2 linked regions of the Neurospora crassa OR74A genome follow. The protein of the gene in region 1 interacts with the protein of each later gene in a biochemical or structural test. Links are inferred from orthologs where the notes say so. Each region holds a gene or a part of one and is shown on either strand. Other genes may lie near its edges.

Region 1 (4,310 bases):
ACCAAGGTGATGAATTGCCTGTTATTAGGTAATCACTGGACGGACGGCACTGCAGACGGGCGGGAGCGAACCAGAAAAGGTCCAGTGTGAGTGGAGTGGAGGCCGGCGCGGGATACATTGCACCGACAAGACTGAGACCTAACCGTGATAAGGCTAGGGCCTAGACCGAGTGGATGCATCGCTTAAGGCTCCCGTTTTAGGCGAGAAAGGTGGTCGGGTCTGGGGAAGGAAGGAAACCTAAGAACTGAAGCGACGTTGACTTTGTGTTTAGTTGTTGACTTTGCTGTCTCTTGTTAGTGCCGTGCTAGGGGGACCGTGGTGTGTGTTAACATTGTGCCACTGAATAGCCCACTGAGGAAAACCTAGGACGGTCTCGAATGGAAATGGACCACGGATTTCTGGGGGAATAACGTCATCAATCGAGGACGGGAATCAAGAAACAAAAACAAACATCATGACAACAACAGCTCCTTTCCCATTACGGCATGAATGCAGTGATTCCAGACCGCGGCCATGGTTGATGATGTGTTTACCGTCAGGGGAGCTCCCAGGTGCGCTTGGGGGGCCAACCCAGGTAGTGCTGGGCTATTTGACACTAGCATTGCGCTACGCAGCTGGGAGTGGGCCCCGCTAATCCACAACGAACAGTCGAGACGGGGCCAATATTGAGTGCATCTGCCAAGGCCACGCACATCGATCGGACGAGCTCTGCATTCATCTCAACTTTTTTTCTTTCTTTTTCTTTTTTTTTTCTCGGTCGGTGTCGAGTCAGTGGTTTTCCCGTGTTCTTCTTCTCTACCGTAGTGCTGTCCATTCTATTTTTCTTGACAGGTTATCCACTCTGCCGTTACTGATACACCTTGCTACTGCGTACACACAATAGTGTAGTGTATTACCAAGCAACCCACGGCTACCGTAGACTCGCAACTCGGTATCTTTCGACTTATACGGAAACGAAGTACTGTACATTACAATTGAATCATACACTACCTACCAACCATACACTCCACAGACGATGTTGTCAGACACGGCAAGAACGTCGGGTATGTACCGTGCTGACTGGTCAGAAAGAACATCCGGGTGCCGCAAAGTGTAGAGAGTACCTGTCCCAAAGCAGCCAATGCTACGACAAGTCGAGGTTACAGTGACACACTGAATGAGTGAACTTAACAAAGCTGAGCTTCCATCTCTGGGCTTCCGGTTCGGTTCGTTCAGTTCCCTTTGGAGATCTCGATCAGATTTGCTGCTACAGCCACTCAATGGCCAGCATCTCCATTCCATCTTTTCGACTTGCGACGGACGGAATCACTCCAGTCCCGGGCTGCTTACCTACCTCTACCGTTCGCTGGCCTTTGCAAAACCTTTCCCCGTGGCTGTCTGTTGAACCCAGAGAAAACGCAATCTCACTCACTCACTCACCCCAACCACGCCGGCCGACTTGTCCGAATCGGTCCCGTGTCCATGTCCATCCCTTCCATCTTCTTTTTTCCTGATTTCGTTCCATCCCGTTTCCTTTCCCCTCTCTCAGTTTGTGATTTGTTGCTGGCTTGGACGAGCCGGTGAGCCACACACCGACTTGGACACTTAATTCCAAACCACAACAACACACCAACCAGCCTCGCCTCCACTTGCCACCACGACGGGATCAGCAACGGCAGTGCAGCATAGGTCTCTTGGGAGTCTAGGCCCGACTATACCTACATACCTTACCTACATGCTACACTACCACACCACTACCACTACCGCTACCACTACCGCTACTACTACCGCTGCTACTACCACTACTCTCACCACTACCACTACCCATTCACCTCTTGTCGTTTCTACTACCAAGACGACGACTAACCTACCTAATCATCCGGGTATCACGACGGATTCGCGGCGCCATCTGGATCCTCCTGCCACACCTGCTTGTCTCGTCCATCCCCGACTCCCATCTGAGACCCGGATCGATTAGCCAGCTGGTCATTTCCTCCTCCAGTTAGATTAGGGTACCTCGCATCAAACAAAGCCAGCCTGTCCTTGTCTACTCAGTCTTTCTAGAAACTTGATTCAAGAACTACAACTTTCCAAAGACATACCACACACAAGACACCAAGCAAGCACGCAAGCGCATCCAGACCCTTTCCCCCCCCAGACTAGATCGACAATAATGCAGGTGTCGCCTTGGGTCCGTCCGATTTCCCCTCGGTAGTCCCTCCTCACCCTCGTACGCGACTTCAAAATGAGGATCGCAATTAGAGAGCAGCTTGCGGCCCTTGTCATCTTTGCCGTCCTCCTCTCCCTCGCCATTGTCTCCATCCCCGTATGGATCTTTGTCAACAACTTTGTCATTGGCGTCAAGACGGATGGCCTGGCCTTGTCTGCCTCTCTCAAGGCCTCTCGCATCTCTTCCGAAATCGATCTGATCCAGACGGCATGCACCACCATCTCCACACGACTCTTGCTTCAGCAAGCCTTTGAGGATTTCTATACCAACGAATACTATGGCAATCAAACTGCGGACGTCTGGGAGCAGGCTCTCGAGGATCTGGCCAGCGCGCTTTCCACCAGCAACGTGTCGGGTCTATTGCAGGCCAGATTGTATTCTCGCAATACCACCGGTGATCCACGTGGCCTTCTCAACATTACCGGCCAAGATGCCCTGGACGACCCTGTCTATCTTCCTTACAGATCCCCAACTGGAGCCGACATCAAACTCGGCGATCCCGACTATGGCTTCCCCCCTATGCTCTACCCAAACATCACATACGAGAACAAGAACCTGCCGAGCCCATACAAGGCCAACACCGTTCAATTCTCTGCCAACATATTCCCTGGCGTCTCGTTGAGCAATGGCAGCGAAGGCAACGGCATTCTCTTGGGACCGCTTGTGGTCAACGAGTCGTACGCGCTTGTCTCCATCACGGTTCCTGTTCGAGAGAATCAATCTAGCAGGTTCATTCTCGGCTACATGACTGTGATTGCCAGCGCGAGACAGCTCGTCCAGGTCCAGAGGTCCAACGAGGGCCTGGGCGAGACTGGCGTTGCTCTGTTCATCGGCCCAGTCAACCCGTGGAACCATTTCAACTCCAAAATGCCTGCCAGCAACCAAACATGGTCTCCGCCCCGTGATGAGTTTGCGAGGACCAACCAGGTTCACTTCCTCCTACCGCCTGCCCCCCAACCCGGCCAAGAAGACCGCCACAGCGACCACAGCTTCGAGTCCGGTGCCTATGATGCCCCCTTCGATCCGGCGACGTACCAGGCGGTGCTCGATCTTTTTGTGGAGAAAAACAATCAGACCAACAACGCCACGAGCAAGATCTCGACCAAGAATGAGCAGGGCAAGAAGGTGGCGATTGGCGCTGCCCGGCCACAAACCTCACTGGTTACCTGGGCGGTGATTGTAGAACAGGACAAGCGAGAGGCGACGGAACCGATCCGTACGCTGAGGAACATACTCTTGGGTTGCGTGTTTGGTACCGCAGGGCTTGTCCTACTGCTCACCATTCCGTGTGCTCACCTGAGCGTTATGCCGATTCGCCGGCTGAAGGAGGCCACCGAGAAATCGATTGCACCACCGGGTTACGAAGATTTGTCCGATTCCGACTATGATGAAGAGAACCCTAGTTCGGGCGGCACCACGTCGGGAAGGTCCGAGAAGAGCTGGCTCAAAAGTTTGAAGAGGAGGATGCGCAAGTCGAAGAGGGCGAGATTGAGAGCTGCAGCTGCACAGGATGCGCATCGCCATGCTTTCAAGATTCCCGCCAAGGTGGAGGATAGGAAGCATTACATTACTGACGAGCTGACCGAGCTTACACAAACCTTCAACGAGATGTCGGATGAGCTGCTGAAGCAGTATACTTCGTTAGACGAGAAGGTGGCTGAACGAACGAGAGAACTCGAAATCAGCAAGAAGGCCGCCGAAGCTGCCAACGAAAGCAAGACGCTGTTTATCGCCAACATTTCCCACGAATTGAAGACACCCTTGAATGGAATCATGGGCATGTGTGCAGTCTTGATGGAGGAAGACGATGTTCTTCGCATCAAGCAGTCGCTCAAGACGATTTACAAATCTGGTAAGCATTCCCGCCCCCTATGTATCCCCTCGGCTTTTCATCAAACTAACCGTGATGATAGGCGACCTTCTGTTGCATTTACTCGAGGATCTCCTCAGTTTCTCCAAAAATCAAATCGGTCAACAAGTCAGCCTGGAAGAGAGAGAGTTCAGGCTTGGTGAGATAAGATCCCAAATGCTGGCTATCTTTGACAAGCAGATCCGCGAGAACAAGATCACCTTCACCGTTAGCTTTGTCGGCACCGACATC
Region 2 (4,491 bases), on another chromosome or scaffold:
TTTTTTAACGTCTTGCTCCGGGGACTGCGGGGCTATTTCGCCAGCAGACGTCGGGTCTCTCATGTTCACGGACCTTCCAAGATCAACGGGCCGAACCCCGCTCACACTTCTCCTACAATGGAGCCTCCTCTGCTATAACAGTACTGAAGACTTTACAACCAGTTTTGCCATCCGAAATTCGAAATATTGCCATTCTATGAAGGACGGTGAGGGAGCTGTCCCTGATCTTCAGCCCAGCAGCTTGCGGGTCACCCAAGCTCAGTCATGGTTGGCTATGTGTACTGATGAGCGGACGATAGCTGGTTGGACTTCTGTTGAAAGACTTCCCTCCTCAATCGTCGCGCCACCAGGTTGTTGTGGGATCGACGTCGGTAAGGGTCAGTTACGCAGTTGGTGTTCTGGCATGTCTGGCCTCGCTGGCTCGCCTTGCTTGCCGGCTTGCCTGCATGTATCTTGTCGGGCCCGTGAACCAAGGAAGCAAATAGGACTATTATCGCCAAAAGCACAATTTGATGTTAAAACGAGATCAACAGCATGTGTTCGAAGCGAATTACTCATCTTCCAGCGGTGCAGCCCGATATACAGGTCCAATGGCATTCTGTTTTCTTTTCCATATGTACAGGTCGGAGAGATGGTAAAGCGGTCATGAAGGCCCCCAAGCTTATACCAGCGTGGTCAAGCCAAGCCTTACGCAACCGCACATGACTGTACGTAAGTACCTAAATACGTAACTTACTCCCGTTCTGGCTCCTCACATGCCACCGATGTCATGTATTGTGATGTATTTATAGGTGGTTGTATCTTTGGCGTTGTCCAATGTATTGACGCTTGCGGTTGGCTTTGGTAAGGGACGTAACCGAAGGTACCAGACAAACAAAACGGTAAAGATTGGAGTTTGGATGACGTCCCGGCCGATCGTCTTGGTCGTCTGATTCGTCAAGATAGCTCCGTTTTGGCACGGGACTTTCTCCGCAGCGTGTACAACTTGAAATAGATACTATAGTACTTGCCCGACATGGAAGACAAGATGTCCTCCTCGCCTGGTAGGTTTCAAACTTTGCGTCCACTTCAGCACTAGTAAAAGGTAGGGGTCCGAACTTTATGTCCACCGGCGCCGCATCGAGGTTCCATTCTTACCACAACCCAGCCCCGGTTCTTCCACCTCGCGAGTCTCAAGTTTCCACGGCAGCGATCCTACCGTCTCTGGCGTACTGTCGAGACTGTGTACTGGCGTACCTCTACCAAGCGAACAAGGTTTGCTAGGCTCACCAAGGCAATTGATGTTGCCGCTCTCGCTGGCTACTGCAAGTTTTTCGCCTGCTTTCCGGAACTTGATCAATCATACCGTAGCTTGCCAGTCCTGACAGTCATATGTACTCCCCAGTCCCGTCCGCGCCAGCTTCGGTCACCTCCAATCCACCGAGGGGGCACGCAACTCGCAAAACTAGGTACATACCTACCAGACAACACAGGTTCAAGGCGCCAAAAAGCACTCGCCCCTAATAACTGTCCCCCAATTCCTAAACATCGACTGGGTCCACGGAAGAACGCACCTCCATCATTTTTCATTTTTTTTTTATTTTTTTTTTCCACCAGCACCGTGTCCATCCGCCGGTCAAGGTCCCTTGTCCCTGATCCTCTGCCTTAAGACGGTACCCTGAACTCGACCACAGTCTCGACCGTTTTCGACTCGTTCAACCCTCTGGACCTTCTCTGAGACGTCGAGCCCCGAATCCTCCAGCGACACCGGTCACAGCCTGAGATGGTCCGTACGCCCATCGCCTGTCTGGTCGTTCTCTCGCGCTGAGCTTCAACAACCGTCCCCCATATCGCATCTCCAGCACGCCTGGCTTGGCCGTCTGCCATAGCTCTTTCGACTACTGTACCGCCTTCTGTTTCATCCGCTGCGTGAACCGTTTGAGTCCCCCGCCGCCTGGGTGCATTACGTCGCGAAGCAGCCGCGGTTCGACCACCTGAACGCTCGACCCAGAGCATATGCTACGTGACCTTGGGAAAAGTGGAAACAACTGTTGGCTCGGACCAGGAGACCGCATCACGTCGTGTGGAGATGAGAAGAGGAGCAGAGCGTGACCAGTCCATCAAACTGTGCTCTTGCTTGGGAGAAACTCGTGCCTACTAAATTGGACTGTTCTTGATTCTCGGTCGCAGTTCTTATCGGCCGCTGTTATCGGATCGGACTGCTTGGGCATTCGCTTGTCTAGACCTCGTGTCCCGACCCACGCTGAACCACAACAATCATGCCGCCTCCCGAGGGTGACTCGGCCTCTGTGCAGGCTGGTAATAACTCCAGCGACTTTGTGAGCTCCTCTTCCAAACCTTCCCCTTTCCACTCTCCTCTCTCTCTGTCTGCCAGCGACCGCTAGTTCTAAGATGGGTGCTAACCCGTACTTTGTCTCACCTAGGTGCGCAAGCTATATAAGTACGAAGCCTAAATCCCCCGAAGCCATCTTGAGGCGCCAAGTCCACGCCTGTAAATTGCGAAAAGTGCGTTCTGACCAGCTTGTAGGATGCTCGAAGACCCCACGTATAATTCCGTAGTACGATGGAGCGCCGACGGTGACAGTTTCGTTGTTCTAGAGGTATGCGCTGAACGGCATTCCACTTGGGGAAGACACTTCCCCCCTGCTTCTGCTGACATGCTCATCAACAGAATGAAAAATTCACCAAAACCATCTTACCCAAACACTTCAAGCACAGCAATTTCGCAAGCTTCGTGCGGCAGTTGAACAAATACGATTTTCACAAAGTGAGGCACAATGAAGAAAGTGGCGAAGCGCCATACGGAAGAGATGTGGGTGGTCCAAGTCATCGGTCCTGCAAAGGGGATTCCTTCAACTGACCGTATCCAGGCATGGGAATTTCGACATCCCGAGTTTCGTGCAGATAGGAAAGATAACCTAGATAATATCCGCAGAAAAGCGCCCGCCCCGCGTAAGCCAGCGCAAGCTGAGGATACCTTTGGCGCGTCGCAGCAGATTGTCGTCCTAAGCGAATCGCTTACTGCGACCCAACACCAGATCCAGGCGTTGCAAGAACAGTATTTCGAGCTGGCGCAGACGAACAAAGTGCTCGTCAACGAGGTCATCAGCTTGCAGAAGATGGTCAGGGCCCAGAGTCAAGTCTCCAACGAGTTGATCACCCACCTCAGCAACATCGAGGACCGTCGACGGAATAGCAGACACTCGGCGCATTCTAGCCACTCAAGTCATTCAGGTCCGACCTTCCACGCAGGATCCCTTGGGCTACTACCAGACGGTGCTGATGAGCCGGCAGCCGAACTTAGACGAGCGCGCGAGATACTCAATGGCGTTTCCCCCGACTCCCAGGCCGACCGGGAACTCGAACGGTTATCGGTCGCCTACCATCAAAATGGGTCTCCATCGGAATCGGCGACCTCGTCAGTCATGTTCACCCAGAGCGGCCCTGGCCCCATGCACATGTTGCATGACCCCCTCAACGACCCTAGACACATGGTCTATCCGGTAGGGCAGACAACAGGCATCGATCCATTCCATTCCGACCACATCAACAACATCCCTTATACTCGTCCCTTGAGTAATCCGAATGCGATGGCAGACTCTGCCCAGATCACGCCTCCCCCAAAAGATCAAGGCACCTCCATGTGGAGCCACAAGCGGCCACGTATCCTACTCGTCGAGGATGACAAGACATGCGCAAGGATCGGTGCCAAATTCCTACATGTACTCGAATGCTCGGTAGATATTGCTGTAAGTTCTAGGTGTCTCGCCTTGGGAATTCGAATTACCCGAAGGCAGCCGTCGCTAACATTGTAGCAGAAGGACGGGCTGGAAGCTGTCGAAAAGATCAACAATCCGGAGAATAATGAGGGCTTCGACCTCATTTTCATGGACATTATTATGCCCAACCTGGATGGCGTATCGGCGACGGCGATGATCAGGATGGTGACGGCAAGAGTACCCATCATTGCTATGACGTCGAATATTCGACAAGAAGATATCCAGACCTACTTTCAGTATGGTAAGTTGGGCCCATCCCAGTTCACCCCGCCTGCTTCTTTCGATGTTCTAACGTTCCTTCCTCCAAGGTATGAATGATGTGTTGGCAAAACCCTTTACGAAAGACAGCATGATCCGCGTTTTGAGGAAGCATCTGGCATACATGCTCAAAGACCCGCTCCAAGGCGGCCTTAACGCGGATGATACAGGACAGACAGTCGGTGCCCCAGGACCGCCGGGCCAGAACCAACAAGCTTACAGCAACAACCAACAAGCGCAGGCCAACATGATGGCGGCGGCGGCGGCGATGGCAAACTCTTCGATGGGCAGCAGCGCACAGGTCAAGTTTGAACAGACGCCGATACCTTCGCCTGCCACCACGTCCTCATGGCATTCCCCAGGGCAGATGAACCAGACGTCCCCCAACATGGACGGTGGGGGATACATGAATGCCGGAGGGAACGGGCCGGGAGGGATGGTTCTGACGCCGGGG

The links.
Region 2: of the proteins of NCU04615 (region 1) and rrg-2, one has a biochemical effect on the other in vitro, tested with the Saccharomyces cerevisiae proteins (3 studies listed by BioGRID). The link is inferred for Neurospora crassa OR74A from reciprocal best matches to the Saccharomyces cerevisiae genes SLN1 and SKN7.

What each region holds. Positions count from the first base shown.
Region 1 is NC_026505.1:1,486,952-1,491,261, forward strand, and holds the start of NCU04615 (osmolarity two-component system protein sln1), read left to right. Parts: upstream 1-1,315; 5' UTR 1,316-2,224; coding exon 2,225-4,061; intron 4,062-4,122; coding exon 4,123-4,310. UniProt on the Saccharomyces cerevisiae protein: Histidine kinase that acts as an osmosensor at the plasma membrane.
Region 2 is NC_026507.1:2,581,830-2,586,320, reverse strand, and holds the start of rrg-2 (transcription factor prr1), read left to right. Parts: upstream 1-1,387; 5' UTR 1,388-2,258; coding exon 2,259-2,318; intron 2,319-2,423; coding exon 2,424-2,440; intron 2,441-2,527; coding exon 2,528-2,600; intron 2,601-2,671; coding exon 2,672-2,812; intron 2,813-2,870; coding exon 2,871-3,749; intron 3,750-3,818; coding exon 3,819-4,020; intron 4,021-4,087; coding exon 4,088-4,491. UniProt on the Saccharomyces cerevisiae protein: Transcription factor that is part of a SLN1-YPD1-SKN7 two-component regulatory system, which controls gene expression in response to changes in the osmolarity of the extracellular environment.